Arabidopsis thaliana: one gene and its partners. The protein of the gene in region 1 purifies or fractionates together with the protein of each later gene. This does not show direct contact. Each region holds a gene or a part of one and is shown on either strand. Other genes may lie near its edges.

Evidence for each region.
Region 2: the proteins of ABCD1 (region 1) and LACS7 purify together in Arabidopsis thaliana (affinity purification with western blotting, with the first as the bait; one study listed by BioGRID). This does not show direct contact.
Region 3: the proteins of ABCD1 (region 1) and LACS6 purify together in Arabidopsis thaliana (affinity purification with western blotting, with the first as the bait; one study listed by BioGRID). This does not show direct contact.

The regions. Positions count from the first base shown.
Region 1 is NC_003075.7:18,486,735-18,491,530, reverse strand, and holds the start of ABCD1 (peroxisomal ABC transporter 1), read right to left. Parts: upstream 3,098-4,796; 5' UTR 2,762-3,097; exon of another isoform or gene 2,395-2,761; 5' UTR 2,312-2,394; coding exon 2,250-2,311; intron 2,157-2,249; coding exon 1,871-2,156; intron 1,570-1,870; coding exon 1,345-1,569; intron 1,210-1,344; coding exon 1,012-1,209; intron 876-1,011; coding exon 421-875; intron 329-420; coding exon 193-328; intron 118-192; coding exon 39-117; intron 1-38. UniProt on the Arabidopsis thaliana protein: Contributes to the transport of fatty acids and their derivatives (acyl CoAs) across the peroxisomal membrane. Provides acetate to the glyoxylate cycle in developing seedlings.
Region 2 is NC_003076.8:9,740,744-9,747,617, reverse strand, and holds LACS7 (long-chain acyl-CoA synthetase 7), read right to left. Parts: upstream 5,127-6,874; 5' UTR 5,003-5,126; coding exon 4,870-5,002; intron 4,773-4,869; coding exon 4,712-4,772; intron 4,618-4,711; coding exon 4,540-4,617; intron 4,454-4,539; coding exon 4,382-4,453; intron 4,287-4,381; coding exon 4,205-4,286; intron 4,123-4,204; coding exon 4,017-4,122; intron 3,929-4,016; coding exon 3,852-3,928; intron 3,727-3,851; coding exon 3,682-3,726; intron 3,600-3,681; coding exon 3,513-3,599; intron 3,380-3,512; coding exon 3,290-3,379; intron 3,199-3,289; coding exon 3,119-3,198; intron 3,038-3,118; coding exon 2,944-3,037; intron 2,857-2,943; coding exon 2,768-2,856; intron 2,687-2,767; coding exon 2,598-2,686; intron 2,504-2,597; coding exon 2,374-2,503; intron 2,250-2,373; coding exon 2,131-2,249; intron 2,024-2,130; coding exon 1,900-2,023; intron 1,816-1,899; coding exon 1,729-1,815; intron 1,642-1,728; coding exon 1,538-1,641; intron 1,453-1,537; and 9 more. UniProt on the Arabidopsis thaliana protein: Activation of long-chain fatty acids for both synthesis of cellular lipids, and degradation via beta-oxidation. Preferentially uses palmitate, palmitoleate, oleate, linoleate and eicosenoate as substrates. Can use myristate and linolenate as substrates.
Region 3 is NC_003074.8:1,785,836-1,793,669, forward strand, and holds LACS6 (long-chain acyl-CoA synthetase 6), read right to left. Parts: upstream 6,053-7,834; 5' UTR 5,912-6,052; coding exon 5,779-5,911; intron 5,696-5,778; coding exon 5,635-5,695; intron 5,553-5,634; coding exon 5,475-5,552; intron 5,382-5,474; coding exon 5,310-5,381; intron 5,216-5,309; coding exon 5,134-5,215; intron 5,051-5,133; coding exon 4,945-5,050; intron 4,862-4,944; coding exon 4,785-4,861; intron 4,562-4,784; coding exon 4,517-4,561; intron 4,412-4,516; coding exon 4,325-4,411; intron 3,938-4,324; coding exon 3,848-3,937; intron 3,695-3,847; coding exon 3,615-3,694; intron 3,451-3,614; coding exon 3,357-3,450; intron 3,205-3,356; coding exon 3,116-3,204; intron 3,031-3,115; coding exon 2,942-3,030; intron 2,760-2,941; coding exon 2,630-2,759; intron 2,422-2,629; coding exon 2,303-2,421; intron 2,201-2,302; coding exon 2,077-2,200; intron 1,987-2,076; coding exon 1,900-1,986; intron 1,672-1,899; coding exon 1,568-1,671; intron 1,486-1,567; and 9 more. Other genes in the region: AT3G05975 (Late embryogenesis abundant (LEA) hydroxyproline-rich glycoprotein family), read right to left, coding at 6,310-6,879. UniProt on the Arabidopsis thaliana protein: Activation of long-chain fatty acids for both synthesis of cellular lipids, and degradation via beta-oxidation. Preferentially uses palmitate, palmitoleate, oleate, linoleate and eicosenoate as substrates. Can use myristate and linolenate as substrates.

The DNA of each region.
Region 1 (4,796 bases):
TTGATAGTCATATTATGTTCTAGATATAAAGCGTTCACCTGTAATCAGAAGATTAGACCCTTGCTCAACTCGAAGGGTGAGATCCTCCACCAAAACATTTCCGGTTGGAGTAACAACCTAGAGTGTGTTAAGAAACATTAAGAACACGACATTTTGGAAAGGATTACAGTAACATGAATCTATTCCAACTACCTTGACATCGGAAAACTCTACATAATTAGCTTCACTTAGATAATTTCTGCTTCTATTTCTCTGGAAAGACGATTTATCATCACCACTGAGTTCTCTTGAGACAGCCATCAACTCATGGATTCGGTCAGCATAACCACTGCCGGAAGCAACAACATTCCAATAATTAGAAACAGCTAAACAGTATTCACCATTTAAGCGTCTGACATGAGATCCAACATAAAGCATTACCTGAGTCGGTTGAGCCGCCTGGAACTTATAGAAAGTGTTCCCAACGCCTGAAAGAGAGATATAATGACACTAGTGTGATATCTTATATTGCTAAGCATCTCAGCTCTTCCTAAGGTCGAGTCGTCAGGTCTTAGATGCCCAGAGAAGAATGGTTCGATAATCAGAATAACTGCAACTGTGGCCCCAAGATACTTCAGCAGAAAATCTTGGATCATACCAAACCACCAGTGATCATGAAGCACGTGACTCATATGGCTAACAAGATTCTTGAACTTTTGTTGTATATGAGATTCTTCCCTGGTTTCCCCACCATAGAATGCTATGCTTTCCGAATGAGTCCTTAAGCGTGAATGAAGTTGCCGGTACTCTCCTTCTAACTGCTGTTCCTTGGACATCAATTTCCCAAAAGAAGGAGAAAAGTTTCTTATCGCCGTCCCAGCCCCCAGTACATAGGCCTACACAACAATTGTATAGGTTAGTTTATAGATACCAGACCGAAAGAATTGTACTGTGAACGGATACAAGGAAAAGCAGCATAAATGGCCCAACATAAGGTCAATCTTGAAGTATAGAAGATTAAACATGAATCACCAGTATCCAGAAGATGTATTTTGGACTAGCATATGAACACAGGCGCCATGCATACAAAATTCCATCAGTAACCGCCGTCAAATCATCCAGTATAAGATCGCTCAACTCTGAGGAGAATCTTGGTACATCGCTGGCAATTCTTTGTTCAGGGTGCGTAATCCGACCATCCACGTGTGATATTTTGTAATATACCATATTCTGAAAACAACAATTAAAACTGAGTGAAGAGATATCCAGCAGTCTGAAGTATACTCGATACTCTCACTAGTCAAAAACACTCGTATCTAAAGAAATAGTAAACAATTGAATGGCAGAAGAGATGGCAGTTGCTACCTCAAAATAGTGTGAATGGATAATCTTGGTCAATATCTTTCTGAATCGCAAACTCAATGCCCCAGTTATGTACTTTGAAGTAGAGTGCAATGTTGATAGCATGAAACACAACATAATATTCTCGGAGATGAGCCGTAGAAACAGTGGCGCACGCCTTAAGAAAGCAGCACGGAAAAGGAAACCTTGCACTTTTGCCAATCTATTGCTCAAAGCTGTTCTGAAAACCTACAAGTTATAGAATAACAGATTGGAAAGAGTACTAGTCCCGCATAAGTAAGAGAAGTAACCAGACTTTTCCCGACTATTGGCCGTAAAGTTAGATTGGTGTTTCTTTCAGCTAAAAAGAGAGACACCCGGTATTCCATAACAATAAAGCAACGGTTCGCAATTGTGAATTTCCATGAATATCTACAGGACTTTGCAACAGCACGAGATCAAACTTAAACAACCAGACAGAAAATCTATCTGACTTGGGCAAAAACATAAAACAAAAGTAAAAACTTATTAATTAAGAGGAAATGCATACCACGGTGGCGACTAGTGCCAAAAGATCCCTGGCACCCATTTTTCCCATCTGAGAGAGAAGAATAGCAGTCAGAACCTGAAGAGACTTCAATCCTCCTCCTTTCTTCTTTTTCGTGGTTATCTTTGCATTTTGATCAGTTGCAGTCAGCTTTTCCAAAGTCTCATCATCATCACTCTGACCATTGCAAAGACGCGAAGAATCAGGCCTCCGGGAAGCGACCCTTGATTTCAGGTAAACAGCAGTTCCACCAGCAGCTACAATCCCAGCCGCAAGCAGTATAGATTTCCTAAAGAATGAAACAGAGAAAGATGAAATCTGAGCCCAAACGAACAAAAAAAACTTCCATCTAGAATACAATGAAGAGCAAGGAAATGGTTACCGTCTTGACGCTACAAGACCCCGACCCCGCTCAGTTAACTGCAATAGTTGAAGTGAAGGCATGGCCTGGAATTGAGTATATTTTCCAACCAACGATTAATCAGAACCAAAACTGGTTTCTTCTTGACAACAAGTGTCCAAAACACCTGAAGTAATACCAAAACTCCAAGGTTATGAATATTAGAACAACCAAATTATAACAAATCTAAAGCAAAGAAAAAAAACGTGTAACCGTTGAAATTAATGCAAAAAATGTGAATTACGCCTAAAGTAAGATTCTCACACTTTTGGATCAAGAAGAAAAACAATGAAAATGATTCATGTATAGTAACACGCGTAATTAGAATCCTAACACAGACAAAAATTGTTTAACAACCCAGCAAATTTGATCCTGATTACATACATAAGAAAGCGCAAAATCTAGATTCGTAAATCAAAAAACAAAACAAACCGATAAAAGCTTAGACAATTGCAAAAAAGCTTATGCAATTAAACAAATCCATGACGAATTACCTCAGCATGAGAGATTCGACCAAGGAGTGTCTCCGGGAGGGATAAACGAAACAGAAGCTAAATATAAAAAAAAAACTCGAGAAATCGGAAATCGTAACAACAACAACAACCACTTAGCTAGAATTCTAGACCATGTGAATCTCAACGCCGAGGAAATTAATTCCGACTACGCCACCAACGGCAACGAGACGTACTAGTCCACCGTGACGGAACTCCCCCAAATCGAGAGATAGAGATAGAGAGAGAGAGAGAGAACGAGAGAAAGTGAGAGCCGAAACTTGGGAAGAGGAGAAGATGATGACGCTTATTTTACACGTGCGAACATATTCACTCGTGCCATTTTTTACTTTTCTTCTATTTTTATACCATCTTCTTGTCTAGTACTAATTGATTTCGTTACGAATGCTATCAGATATTTTTACCTTATTTTTTAGATTTTTTACTCAGGTAACTCTAGCCACCGTTTCATTCTCGTTAAAAAAAATGTTAACGCTGTACTGTAAAAATAAATAAAATATCTTAGCCTAGTTGGTAATGTATCAAACTATCAATTGTTTCTTTTTTCTTATTAAAAAACTTGGTACTAAAACCATGTATAGACAGATTTATTTCCTTTATGTATAATTTGAATACAAATAGTACTATGTATAGAAGTGTCGAGTCCTATGGACATACACTGCTATCCTTCCATTGGTAAGTTTGTTTTTTCTAATTGAGGAAATTGTGATTGGTCTGTAAACTTAAATATATGATAGACATATTAGCAATAAAATCATGGATTGTTATTTCATGTTTGGAAAAAAAGTTGAAATTCAAACACGATAATATACAAGGACATTTGAAATTTGCACGAATTATTGAGTCATCAGATATGTGAAATAAAATGGTTGTTAAAGATTGTTCACTAAAAGAGTTTAATTTGGTAAAGTTAAAAGTCAATACTTTTCACAAATTGATATTTAAGGTGTGAATTTTGTGAAGTGGGAAAAGTGCAAATTGTACACCGCATGATTGAAGCACACAAATCAATGTTGTGATACTGTGATGTCTTCCTACTTTGTTTCTGATAAGTACATATTACATCACTCCTTTCGCCCAACACAATCCGTATACTAAACCAAAATGGGCCTTAACTTGATTGAAACCCAATACAAAAAAATGTTATGGGCATTTTTGTTCACGGGTCTTTAAACTGGTTGATCTGGTGAATTATCACAGCACACAATAAATTTAGGAATTCACAATTGAATAATGTACATGTGATACCAAAAGTTGAATGAAACGTTTTTATACAAGTGCCGAGTTTCTAAGTGACAAGATTGACAAAATAAGTAGGCTATTTATGACATTTGGGCATTGCCTACATTTAGAAACTTTTTCCTCGATTTTTTTATTTGGCTAATTGTGCTTATAAATTTCTATCGTCGTGATAGTTGTGCATGTAATTTCTATGATTTGACAAAAAAAAAAAATAATAATAAAATTGTAAAATAGATTCAAAGTTGGAGGAACTCTATTTTCAGTTTCATAATACACACGTCACGTCATAAAGTTAAAACAACATTCCGGCACAATATGAGGTGAGGTGATGGGCCTTGAGAAATGAGTGGCCCATACAACAACACGTTAGGACACAAAAGCCCCATTTTTCTCACCATACGCCCCACACTCAATCGCCAATCCACCGACACAAGTCAATAAAACACTACAGCACCCAGTTCCGTCGGTAACTCCTTCAATGACCGAAATGCCCCATCCTCACGAAAGTCGTCGACTCTACGATTCCGTAGACCCCACCTTATTTAATTTTTGACTTCTCATATTTTTTTTATTTCAAACAGAAACATTTAATTTTCGCGGTTATCAAGAAAAACATTTAATTAATTCATTCTTCTCGCCGTCCACATTTCACAACATATTTGTAATTTTTACAAAGAAAAAAAAGAGACAATTATAATGAGATTATGAAATTTTATTCCACATTTATCGATTTATTATAAATACAATTGAAGTTTTTAAAAAAAGTTTCCAACCA
Region 2 (6,874 bases), on another chromosome or scaffold:
ATTCATTTGAAGAGAGTTGACCAACTTTCATATATATGATTTATAATGTTTGTTTAATAAATATATATTTTTTTTTTTGCTTTTGACAAATGTAACCAATCAGGAGAAGCCGCGTCAGATGATATTGGTATCATAAATATCACTGGGCTGATACTGATCAAGCTCATTCTAATTGTTTTGTCAATATAAAAATAATTTTTGGACTTGTGATTTTCTAGAAATACCACCCATGTACATGGTCTAATGGTCATGAGTTCGATCCGGACTTGGCATTATTTTGTGTCAAATGTTTTTAGTTTAAATGAAACTACATAATTACGTGGTATTTTAAATTATAAATATATCATCCTAGTCAGCTGTTAACGGAACAGTAACACCGTCTAGCAATTTGAGGTTTTCTACCGAATTTTCATAGTTTGTGTTGTAAATTCAAATTAAATCCAAGTTCATGTAGTTATAAGCACATAAAAAGTTCGGTATATGAAAACGATAAAGCAACATGGTTCAGGGTGGAATAGGCTGTTCTCCCTATTCTAATAAGGCTTACTATTTCAACACTAGCGTTAGCCAAAGCAAAACTAAACCAAACTGTACGGACATGCACTGGTTTCTCAAACTTATGACCACACTCATCATCCATTTCAGGATTAGGACATAGTCTGCTTCCTTTATTCTGGAAAACAGTATCAAAGAAAATTACACCATGAATCTGTTTTATTTCAAATGATCGATCTACCTCATCCTAATCCGATCTTTTAACAGTTCTACAATTACCTTTGTAATACAAAAAAAAAGAAACACTTTTAAGCAAAGCAAAAAGCATCACAGTTTAGAAGGAATGGGGTTCGAGGCTGCGATTTCCGCATACATTTTGCTAATTGCTTCTGCAAAGTAGGCTTTTGCTTGAGGTCTCTTTATCTGTTAGAAAAGTTTTACCACACATGAATTAGAGATTCCGAGGTAAGTAACAAAAATTTCATTGCGGTTTCAACTTCACATTGTTGTTTAGTTACCTTGAATGTTGGTGTGAGAAGTCCATTCTCCAAGGTGAATGGTTCTGGCACCAAAGTCACAGCCTTTGCAAACTCAAACCCTCTCAACTGTATTAAGCACAAATTGTAAATTTGTTGAGTTGCTTGGTTTTCTAATCCCATTTTAGATTATTAAGGCAGGTTTTTTTTTTTTTACCTGAGCTTCTCTTCCAAGGTCATCCATCTCAGCAAGAACAGTCTTTCGCACTCTTGGATCGTTACAGAGCTGTCCTAGATGCTCATACTACAATCATCAAGAAAAGTTTGCAACACATTGATAAATTGCTTTTAAAGTCTCTAATAAGTGATGATATCATTGAGTTAGAAGATAATACCTTGATGCCTTCTGATGCAGCCCAATCTTTCATAACTTCGGGGTCGACTGAAACTATAGCTACTAGAGAGGAATTGAAGCTATCACCTATAATAGAGACATTCTGGCTCGGTTGAGAAATAGCACAAGTGAAGAAGAAGCCATGTATAGTGTGAGTAGAGTCTTTGCTTACCGTGAATGAAACACTGCGAAACGAATCTACATTTGGTATAAACATTTTCGATCTTCTCTGGTGCTATATATTCTCCTTGCGCCAACTTAAATATGTTCTTCTTCCTGTCATGCACATTGAAGTTTTAACAAACATTTCAACTTTTTCTTCCGCAAAGAAAGAAATAACAAGAATGTTTTGATTTATAAAACCTGTCTATGATCTTGAGCCGACCACCAGGTAACCACAACCCGATATCTCCTGTGTGTAGCCAGCCATCTCCATCAAGAATTTCTCTCCTGCTCAAGTAAATGTGTCAAGACTCATGTCCACTTATCTATACATATAACTAGAGCCACTAATGATACTGGAAAATGTGTTACGTTTGTTCTTCATCTTTGTAGTAGCCTTTGAAGATGATTGGTCCTCTTACACAGATTTCACCACGTGGGTATGGTTGATCGTCTGATGTGTAATTCATTTCGGGAACATCCACAAGTTTTACCTCTAAGAAAGAAAAAACATTTTCAAAACACAAAAACCAGTCATACAATTTGGATACAAAAGTTTGGATTCTGATATATACACTGTCTTTAAAATAACACATTGCTTACCGCAAGCTGGATTAGGGGAACCGACATGGCCAGATAAATTGTCACCATCATCCATAGCACTTATGACACAAGAAGTCTCGGTCATACCATACCCTTCACGCACCGAACATCCAAAGCATCTGTTCATCACGATGATCAAAGACCATATATTCTTTGTTAGTTTAGTTTCAGATTCTTAGAAATCAGTGAGAGTGGAATCACAGAAGAAAAGTTCAAACATAGCAAACCGAAAAGAAAACTTACATTCTCAAGAAATCCATGACATCAGGTGACAAAGGAGAAGCACCAGACCCCATAAACCGAACCCGTCCACCAAGCTTTTCTTTTATTTTGTTGAACACCAGCTTGTCCCAAAATGCAGAAGGAGTCCGCCCTGAAGAAACCAAAATGAGAAAGACAGATATAATGCAGAAAGCTTGAAACACGTATACTACTTAGTTCACTTTTCTAACTGTTTCTATTAGTACCATTAATGATCGCTTGCTTCTTTGAGTTATAGGCAATTTCGAAAAGCCTTTTTTTCACAACCCCAGATGATTTTACGGCACTTGTAATGCTGTGGAGATTAAAGTCAGCACATAGAAACCACATAGTTCCACAATACGTACTTGACATGGGAAGTATAAAGTGATTTTACCCATCATATATTCGATTATATAAGCGAGGGACACTACAGAATATTGTTGGTCTTAACACAGCAAAATCATCCATCAGCTTGAAGACATCCTGTCAAAGAAGTATATATATATATACATTAGTCTGATTTCGTAAAACAAGTTAATCTCATATGTCACAAGACATGAGCTTACATACCCCCTGATAGAAACCGACAGCAACACCACCATACACCCCCATAATCTGATTTGCACGTTCATATATGTGCGCCAAAGGAAGATATGATATGTAACTATAAATAGAAGACATCTGAGTCAAAGACTCTTCCATTAAAACTATGTGTGCCACTTCTGAAGGGAAATGTTCAACTCACACATCTGAAGGAAAGAATTCTGCTTCCACACTGGAACCAGCGACATTCGCGATCAAGTTTCCATGAGTCAACACAACACCCTTGGAAACAAAGAACATATGAAATCAACTATATAGTTGAGTATTTAGCTTTAAAGTGATTTATGCACCATTTCAACCAGAAGAAACTCACCTTTGGTGTTCCTGTGGTTCCACTTGTGTAGCATATGGTTGCAATGTCTTCTGGCTTTGGAGGCGAAAATGGATGTAAGCTACTTCGACCCTACAAGATAACCGGTGGCAACATGAAGTCTCTTTCACTACCAAGCAAAACTCATTACAGGAACAGAGACATCATTCACCAAGATAACAACACATGTTTAGTACTTTAGTTAAAACCCATTGTAAAAGGCTACCTGACTCAATAGCTTTTGGTATGATACAATTGTGACTCCAGTTCCTCGAGGAAGTGATGGCAAATGCTCATCAGCCCCTCCCACCACCTAATCACAGTGCAAAACATATTTATAAGTGGGAGTATATATTTTAGCTTACAGTGAAATTACATATTGGAGAAGTACATACCACAATGAGACGAATGGATGGGATTTCCGCTAGGAAGCTTAGCAACTGCAAAGTTCCCAACAAAAAAAGACAAACACAATTCATGATCGAAAGTGTTGCAATTTAGACTATACTTGAACTGATTCTCAGAAGATAATAGCTAGCACTTTAACAAACCAAAACACACTTACAATATTCAAGGTTTGTGGTACACAAAATATAGCTTGCAGATTAGCATGATTCACCACAAACTTAACAGCGTCTGGACCTGCGTAACCAGAAGAATCATATTAAGAAGAGACAAGGCTTGCAAAACTCGAAAACTAAAGAGAAAAAATCAAATTTAGATTGGTTACCAAGTGTATCATATAAAGGAACAGAGACAAATGAATATGCTGCACAAGCATGATCCACAACCAACCACTCTGGTCTGTTAATAAAATAGAGTCCAACGCAATCTCCCTGTTCCATTAAATGAAGAAACTTTTTCTTTACAAGAACCATAGCTGCATAAGTTTTACATTCAAAGTAGAGTGAAACATACTTGGTTAACTCCATGAAACAAGAGTCCTGAACCAATGGCTTGTCGCTCAGACGCTGCTTCTCCATATGTCATCCATGAATACCTTCATAAAAACATATCACAGAAACATAAAAACCTACCTCAGCTCAAAACTCCATAGCGAAAATCTCAAAGCAAAAGAACAGCTTTAAAACTCACTCTCCAATGGTTCCATCGGACCGAACTCGTGTACCAAGATACTTGTTTTCAGCATATGTTTCAACAGCATGTCTGATTCCACAAAAACGTAATGCCAGTCACAAACTAAAGCCAATCAATTTAAAACAACCTCAAAAGAAGTAATCATCAAAACATACACAAAATTGTCATGTAAAGTCCCGATTTCAGGATGATCCGGGAACCTACTAACGAGTTTCGTAGGCGATCTTTTAGATCTGTCACAGCCAAAAAAAAACAGAGATTCATAATCACACACACTTATCAAAAAACCAAACGTAACAACAAAGAAAGGACTGGTTTTTTAAAAACCTGTAGACATTCCATTTTCCAGTATCAAGCTTTTCTGGAAGCACAACACTGTAGCTATCCTCTAGAGAAAACAATCCAAAGCTCTTAAAAACTCAAGAAACAGAGAAAATTTCAAATTATGGAGAGACTAACTTTCAGGTAATTTTCAGGTGCTTTACCTTTAAAGAAAGGTGAAGCAGAAGAAGCGGTGGCGTTGAGGAATAGAGATGATGATTGATCGTTGGTCGGAGAAGTATCGATGTGAGATCGAATGGTTTCGAGACGACGTTGTTCCGGCGAAGCAAATTCCATCTTTTCTTCTTTCTTCAGAAAAAATGTCTTCAGGAATATACGAAATAAACCGATTAATTACCATTTTATAAAAATTCAACTTTAAAACAATGACGTCACAAATCTACTAGTATAGTAATAAAATTATGAAAAGTCAATTGAAAACAATTTTTTAGCTCACAAATCTACTATAGAAGAAAAGGAATAAAATCTTTGAATTATGAAAATGAGCATAAATATGTAAAACTATTGTGTGATGCTACGGCTATAAAATTCCATAAACAACATATTTTGGATAGGCGTTAATCATGTTTTCCATTTTTTTTTTAACACCTCACCAAAAACGCCTCATTTCACTAAAGTAATGTACTTTTGTTTCTCACATGTATTTTGCTTACGTCAAAATAAGGCACACTTCCCTATGTGGATAATTTACCATTTTTTTCAATAAAATTATTATTTGATCTTTTACCAACAAATGTTCATGTTGGTTATTATTGTAGACCATGAAACCTGTTGTTTTTGGCATTGCCAGAAGCAATAACCTGAATCTTTAAGTACCAATGTAGACTGGTTATGCTGTTTAAGTTCCCAGTTAAGTTCGGCTGCAACACAGAAGATGAACCAAATTCTCAAAAACTAGGCAAACGGAAAGATCTCCATCATAGTTTAAGTAACACAAGAGAATACATTGTGCCAACCTTGGTTACAGAACTTGTATGCTTTTAATTTTAGGGTAATTTGCAGGCCACACCCTTTGATCATGTTTTATTTTTAAGGACTGACAAAGTGAAAGGTGGTTTTCACGTTTTGTCTTTTCAGCTGAAATTTGATCATTTTGCCCTTGCTGCTACAGCAGAGAAACTGTTGAATGTACGGTTTAGTTAGTCAGGTTTAGTTAGGTATACTGTTCCGGTTTAATTGGAATTATTTTTGTTTCACGTTGAGGAGTACGACTGTACAGTTATAAGCTAGGTTGCATGGAAACTCGCTCTGAGGTGCGTTTCTCGTTTCCGAAACGTTTCGGAAACGGAAACTCTCCGGAAACACGAAAAACATCACGGAAACACGTTTCCTAAAAATCTAGGTTTGAAAACACGATGGAAACTTACGTTTCCAAAATAGAAACTCACGTTTCCGAAATAGACATACGACAAATTTTTTTTATTGACTTTAAAAATTTAATAACTAAAATTGAAAATATTAAAATTATTAATACATATAACTAATTTTGGAAGACTTTGAGTTTTAAGATCTTTTTTTGTTAAACCAGATTTGAAAAGAGGTTTATATTATCTTTGATAAAACTAATGAAAATGTTGGTCTAAATTAACTATTTGAACTTGAACCTTTTAATTTTTATCTTTTAGAATTTTAGTTTATTTATTTAATATTGATATTTTGGACTTGTATTATTTAAACCATTTTTTCTTTAATATAGTTTTATGTTAATGTTATATATATATATATATAATGTTATATATATATATATAATGTTATATATATATATATAATGTTATTTATATATATATATATGTATAAATGTGTATACGTTTCCAAAACGTTTCCAATCCCTAATTTTAAGAAAAAATTGTTTCCTGTTTCCGAAACGTTTCGTATCCGCGTTTCCGTTTCCGTTTCCGTTTCCATGCAACATAGGTTATAAGGGATATTTTTTCCATTAAAAACGAAATGACATCAACATTTAATGCCCAAAAAGTTTAGACGTGACTCTTGTTATAATTAATACAAAATCATTATTACATGTTATAATATTATAAAATTATTGATAATAATTGTTGAGTTAAAGATGAACCCAGGAACAAACATTAATTGCGAACAAACATTGATGCTCAAGAAGTGTTGATCTTGTTTATTTACGAAGTTTGGAGC
Region 3 (7,834 bases), on another chromosome or scaffold:
TTGTATTATAAAAGCAGATTTTACGAAAGATATATTTCAGAAAATGATTCAATCATATCACATCTTTTTATATTTCTCTATGAAATTTGATATTTTGCCTTTCTTTTAACCTTTTCGTATTATTTTTTAATCTAGACATGGTCGGATTTAGCTTTTTTTTTTTTTTTTGGAACAAAAGTCGGATTTACCTAATTATACATTAATACATATGTAAAATCAAGACCAAGCTAAAATATTACTGAACTAAAGCTACGCAGACTATAGTTCCTTTAAAGTTGATTGTTCCAATACCTAAACCGAAAAAACTCCAAAATCGAATACTTTTAAACATTTACGATTGGGTTTTTATCCAAAGCACATAATCTATTTGGATGTGTAGTTTCGGGTTTTGGATACGAACATAAAGATATTGTCATATAGATCTCAGCGTACGGACAGAGATCGTCGTTTCGTGGTAGGCCGAAGAATCCGCAATAAAACAGAATTGGGAATGTTTTGCCTTTTTATTACAGAGGGAAAACATTGTACTGTAAGAAAGTTTCATTAATGTAATGTAGCACCTTTATTACCTTTACTATTCAATAAATATGTAGCAAGAAAACAAAAAAGAATACAATTTGTGGGAGAAACAACTTTTGCGTAGGCTTTTTATTAATCACACGATTATACCATCATCACAAACCTCTATTAGCAGAGGGATCAGAAGCACCAAGCTCCTTGTACATGTTTGTTATTGCTTCTGCGAAATATTCCTTTGCTTGTGGTCTCTTAATCTGCAATATTCAATCAAATCCATTTGCCTCAATCCATTTTCACAATTGGTTTTGCTAATTATCCCACATCCAATCCAGATATGCTTTTTTTACCGATTTTAAAAGAGAGACAGCATGATGTTTACTAAACCACACTAATTATAGGAGTAGGAACTAGGCATTTTCAATTTGAGTAAATCGATCTGAACATATACCATGTCGAACAAACCTTTCCACTAACTAAGATAGAATTTACCTTTTGAAGCTAGTTTGAGTGAAGTATATTCATATAAGAAATTTACCTTGAACGTCGGAGTCAACAAGCCATTTTCCAGAGTAAATGGTTCCAGCACCAATGTCACAGCCTTTGCAAACTCGAAGCCTCTCAACTGCACCAAACATTTTTATCATCCAAATCAATCATCATGTTTTTGAGAATAGTAACTAACTGATATACAGAAAATTGTTTTCTGAGATGTATTGCCTGAGCTTCTCTTCCAACAGTGTCCATGTCAGATAGTACTGCTGCTTTCACTCTCGGATTATTACACAATTCTCTCAGATCTCCTCCCTACATTCAGCAAAGTGGTATAAAGTTAGTTTTTTAATGTTACATTTAGAGAATTTGGTGACGTAAGTTATATCACCTTAATGCCTTCTGAAGCTGCCCAGCTTTTCAGCACATCTGGATCAACCGATACAACAGCTACCAATGATGAATTAAAGCTATCACCTGAAAATTGGTAACAGGTGAGATGGGGAAAGGATAAAGCAAAATGTTATACAAAACAATTTACTATAATTGTTTACTATACCATATATGAAGCACTGGCCCACAAATTTGCATTTGGCATAGACGTTTTCAATTTTCTCTGGAGCTATATACTCCCCCTGCGCCAATTTGAAGATGTTCTTCTTTCTATTCAAAGGATCAGAAAATTTCACTCAGATGATTCGCGATTCAAAAGATACCAACAAGTCCCCAAAATGTAACCCAAGACTAGAGCTTTGCACTCCCTAGACTTTTGCAGATGTTATTTCTTAGTGTTTGTATCATCAGTAAGAAGTAGGCTTATTCTTTGTGAGCCAAGAGATTTGATTTTAGTGAAGAAACAGCTGATAACAATCAAGTGATTTTTTGGAAAACCTGTCAATAATTTTTAGACGTCCTCCCGGCAGCCACAGACCTATATCTCCAGTGTGAAGCCATCCATCTTCATCAATCACCTCTTTCCTGAAAATAATACGTTTTACTGAAATAATTAAACTTTTGGTACACTTTGGTTAGTGAAAGAGGAATTTCCAATGCAGTAGGTGTTTATACGTTTGAATTTCATCTTTGTAATAGCCTGTAAAAATGATAGGACCCCTAACACATATTTCGCCACGGGGATGGGGCTGATCCGCTGATGTATAGTTCATTTCTGGGACATCCACAAGCTTTACTTCTGAAATATAGAAATGCATATTAAATCCCAAAGCAATTTAAAATGGATATTTAGTTCCAAATTACTCTACTTATCATATCGCAGAGTCAGTAAAAAGCTCACCACAAGCTGGATTAGGAGAGCCAACATGTCCAGTGAGGTTATCACCCTCGTCCATTCCACTTATAACACAAGATGTTTCAGTCATTCCATATCCCTCTGTTACCCTTCCTCCAAAGCATCTGGAGTATTCATATGACAAGATTAAATCAAGAGGGAAAAGAAAATCACAAGCTAATGTACAAAAGTTATGTGGAACCAAAGCTACTGTAATTATGCATGAGCTAGTGAGAGAGAGGGATTGGTGGGGACTGAAAAGTGTTCATTCTTGAGGATGAAGTCTATTGTATAATATGACAGAACACAATATTTCAATAGCAATAAACTTACACTTTCAAAAATTCCATCACTTCAGGAGAGAGAGGTGAAGCACCAGACGTCATAAAACGAACCCGCCCTCCAAGTCTGTCCTTTATTTTATTAAATACCAACCTGTCCCATATGGGAGAAGCACTCTTTCCTGAACCAACAGTACCCATACAAAGGAAATCAAACCCAAAAACTGTATAAAGGATCTTTTACTTTTTATCATCTCTTAGAACTCGACAGTAATCAAAGTCCTTATCTGTGTCAGAAATTACAAAATAAAGCTACAGAATTGCATAGACTGATTTTAATGTAAATAAGTATGACAGGACATACCATTCAAGAGAGCCTGCTTCTTTGCATTATAGGCAGCATTGAAGAGTCTCTCTTTCAGACCACCAGAGGTTTTTACTGCATTAATGATACTGGGAACAAGAATTTTACATTAATTCAGTGGATTCTCAAAATCAGCAGAGAGCGCATATCAACAAACCAAAGCCATTATATTACCCAGCATATATTCTATTGTATAATCGAGGGACACTGCTAAATACAGTAGGTCTCAGAGCAGCCAAATCATCCAGTAGTTTCATATTGTCCTGCAGAAAAATTTGCAAGTGGTTCGTCCAATCAAATCAATAGAAAATGGTTTGAGAGTGAAGGAAGAGTATAAGCAAAGACCAGATCACAGGTGTATAGGTCTATGATGGTTACTTAATGCAACCTAAAAGGAGAAGGTTCAGTTTCTAACCCCTTGGTAGAATCCAACAGCAACTCCAAAGTACACTGTTAGGATCTGATTAGCTCGTTCGTAAATGTGAGCAAGTGGAAGATACGAAATGTAACTGGAAAGTAGAAGAAATTTTGACAAAATTAGTTACTTATAGTCTATCTGAAACAAAGACCACTTAAGAATGGAAATTTTAAGAATTAAGATACATGTAGCAATAGATACAAAGAAGAACACAGAAAATGTTTAACCATTAGTAGAAAGAAGTAAAGCGCTTACACATCTGAAGAGAAAAACTTCACACTAAAGCTGGAGCCAGCAACATTGGCAATCAAGTTTGCATGAGTTAATACGACTCCCTTTAACATATTTCATCCAGAAGAAGAGCAGGCAAGGGAGGAATGAGGGATACAGGATAAAATAAACAGTAAGTTAGATGCTATAGTCAGGGTAAATATGAAATAAAGAACAGTACTACCCTAAATGAAGATAACATTTCAAGTAAGTAAAACCTTGGGTGTCCCAGTTGTTCCGCTTGTATAGCATATGGTTGCAACATCATCGGGTTTTGGTGGAAAAAATCGCTGAGGGTTACTACGACCCTGAAACAAATTTGTTGGTCAGAAAACAATGAAACCAACATGTACCACCACAACTGTGCTGCTATCAGCGAGAAAGATACTGGGTGACTATATTATCTCAATGAGAAAACTATTATGGATATATGGGAAAGGTGTAGAAGTAGTCCTGATATAAAAAAAAAAAATTGAGTTATAGGTAAAAGCGTAATGATGTGGAAGTACACTTGTGTATATATGACTAATATGTACCCAGTTATGTATAAATGTTGATGAACCCTAGGTTGGTAATAAACAGGATAAGACTCATAATAGCACTGGTAAGAACTTGCAATATCTTAAATGATAGAATGTCCTTAATCCTGTTTATATTCAGAAAACGGATATTGAATTACAAAATCATACAAGTACCTGATTCAGTAACACCGAATAGGATACAACTTTCACTCCTGATGATGAGGGAAGCGAGGGTAAAGATTCAATTAACCCTCCAACAACCTACTTGGTCATGAGAAGTATCACGAACAGAGAGAAGACAAAATTAATTTGGAAACTGTAGTCATAATCCTCAAAAGAATAACAAAAGATGAGTTTTCTTCATACCACCACCAGGCGTACACTTGGCATCTCAGACAAACAGCTAAGTAACTGAAATCTCCAGCAGTAAATCAAGCAGGAAAGCAAGCAAAAAGAAATCAGAAAAACGATTATTAAGCAAAAGTACAAGCACTTAAAGAAAACAGTCAGCAACATACACATCATTTGAGTAAGGGCTAAAAAAGGTTGTTGTTTTTTTTTTCTCACTATCATCCAAGTAAGCAATTTTTTAAAAAAGAGAAGGAAATTAAAGCAGGAGATTGACAGAACTTACAGAGTTTAAAGTCTCTGCCACACAAAATATGGCTTGCACAGTTGCATGATTGACAATAAATTTCACAGCATCAGGACCTTGAGCAAAAACAAAGAGCAGAATTAGAACACCCCACGAATTGTGAAATGGAAATAATACGCCGAACCAACCAGATACTTACCAAGAGTATCATACAAAGGAACAGACACATAAGAATAAGAAGAACAAGCATGATCAACAATGAGCCACTCTGGGCGATTGATGAAGTAAATTCCAACAGAAGATCCCTGGTAGAAGAAAAACAGAGACTTGAGTCTAGCTGCAAACTTAAAAATCAATCAGGAAGGAGAGTAAGAATCCAATAATTTACCATGGGGATTCCGTGATGAACCAAACCAGAACCTAAAGCAGTTCTTGCTGTACCAGCTTCTCCATATGTCATCCATTTGTAGCTGAAAAAAACAAAACAGAGTCACATAAGAAAACTAGCTTCAAGGAAAGTACTTTCTTGCAGATACACATAGATTGAGTAAGTTAGGAGCTCACTCTCCAACAGTTCCGTCGACACGAACACGAGTTCCTAAATACTTGTAATCTCGAAAATCATGAACAGCATGCCTACATAGACCCCAAGAACAGTATCAATCAGAGAGATGACTAAAGAATTGATATAGAAGAGATGATCAGCTTTCGGGAGACTCTGATTCATACTCAAAATTGTCATGGAGAGTAGCGATGTCAGGATGATCTGGGAATCTGCTAACGAGCTTGAACGGAGATTTTGCAGATCTGAAAAATTGAATTCAAAACAAAAACAAATATTAAGAGAGGGAATGGAGACAAGGAGAGAAGAAGAGGAAGCGTAAGGAACCTGTAGACGTTCCAACTGCCAGTATTCAGTTTCTCGGGAAGAACAACACTATAGCCATTATCTGATTGCGATCAGAAGACAAGTAATCAGCAGCGAGAGGAAGCTACTAGTATAGATCAGAGAGAGAGATGAGGAAATACGGACCAAGACAGAACTCGCCGGCGGTGGGATTGGAGCGGAGGAGAGGGGAAGAGCGAGAAGAGGTGACGAGGTGAGAGTGGATAGCGTTGATACGGCGGCGTGCGGCGGCGGAGGAAGACGAAGAAGAAGAATCCATAATAATTTACCCGATTCGGAATCAGAGGAGAGAATGATCCGAAAGAGAGAAAGATAGATACTAAAAAAAGGAGGCACGCTTTTCTAACTCTGTTTCATGATGTCGCTATCCGTTGATTTCGTGTTTTCAAGTCTTCTCCAAATTATTTGTCATAAAATAATAATAATAATAATACACTATTTTTCCTTTTTTCAAATGGAGGTAAAAATAAAATAATTCAGATTTTTGAATCAAATTCATTATTTCAAATTCAAAGGAATACATTTAATTTCAAGAACTCACAAAAATGGAGTTGATTAAAGAACAGCGATCAAGAGCACTACAATCTTTATTATTACAGGAAACTAGCTAGAATTAAACTGCTCTCTTAAGCCTAAATGTTTACCTGAAAAAACTATTTACAGCTTAGTTTTGAGATCACACACTTGGTCCTCCACTACCATTGAAGGAAAGCCGAGTACGAGATTGCAATGCGATATTGAATCCAAAGGTATCTTAAAGATTCCCAACAAAGTGATTTTTCCTGGCATTTTTGCTCTTGTCTCCATCACAATTTTTCCATGCAATACATCTTGCACGATATCACCTAAATTCGCGACAAATTTATCGAGCTGGAGAAATAGAGGACATGGCAAAAGCACTGAACCTTTGGCAGGTAATGTGCTCGAAGGAAGTGTGAGATTTCCGACTAGTGTATCCCTGTAATAAACCAAGTTTTCCACTGTCTTGTATTCAAAATCCGCAACGTTAGGATTCTTGAGCAGCATCTCCAGCGTAAGAGTGAAATTTAGTTGGACCTCGTATGGTAGTGATATATTTGTAGATATGCCATCAACAGTTGAAGAGACGGTTTGTAGTATCGGATGTTTTGGTTTGAACACTTGTGCAAGGATCAAAGCGGTCATGAAGATTACGAAGAGGACAAAGATGATTCCGGAAACTATGCAGCAAATGCGTCGCTTGGACATGGTTATAATATTTTATGTGGATTAAGTTTTGTATGTAAATGTTTAGGTTTTACAGAAATGCATAGAAAGATGGATAAATAAAGAAGAAGGAGTGTGAAGACATTGAGCTGTTCATAACGGATTACAATCTGTCATTCATTTTATCATTTATGGGTTATGGCAGTAATTAGGCGGATGTTTTTTTTTTGGTTATTGTTATTGTTTTACTTTGGACACATGTTATTGTTAAGTCAAACTTGATTAATTTGGCAGATATGGTTCCTTAGCTGAATATTTATTTCTCTCAAAACATAGCCACTTAAAAGTTTTATTTTTTTCTAAAAGATTTTTTCTTCTTTTTCTTCTACCTTTTTTTTATATTGATCATATAGCCACCTAAAGTTTGACTCGTTGATTACTTTAAGATTTTTTGCTTTTATATGTATTCATATTCCATATCAGATCCATATAAGTTAAATTGTAATGTTTTTAGTTCAAATGGTATCAAATTTTTATTTATTTGGTCACATATGGGTATTATCATACCAGTTTCTACATTATATATACTCTTAAATTGTTCTAATAAATTTCAAGATCTTACAAAATTAAAAAACCTAATTAATATAAAAAAAATGTTATACTAAATTGTTTATCTTAAGTAAATTTTCATAAATTAAAGAACGAAGATGAAATCGTTGAACGGGGTCGTTGAGTTGGTTTTTTTTCTTTTAATGTTAAGCGGCCACTTGCTAATGTTCTGTGCTGCCCATATATTGTAGGAGAGACAAGTGGGCATTATAACTAAAGGCCCATTTGTTTTGAGACACCATGGAATGCATATCATCTTTTGGTCCTCTAATTCTTGTTCTTGTGGAAAATGACTACTGGGATTCAATTGAACATTTAAATGGATTACATAAAAGAAAAAATATGTTTAATTAAATTGTTTGTTTTACTATTATATTCGCTATGTTGT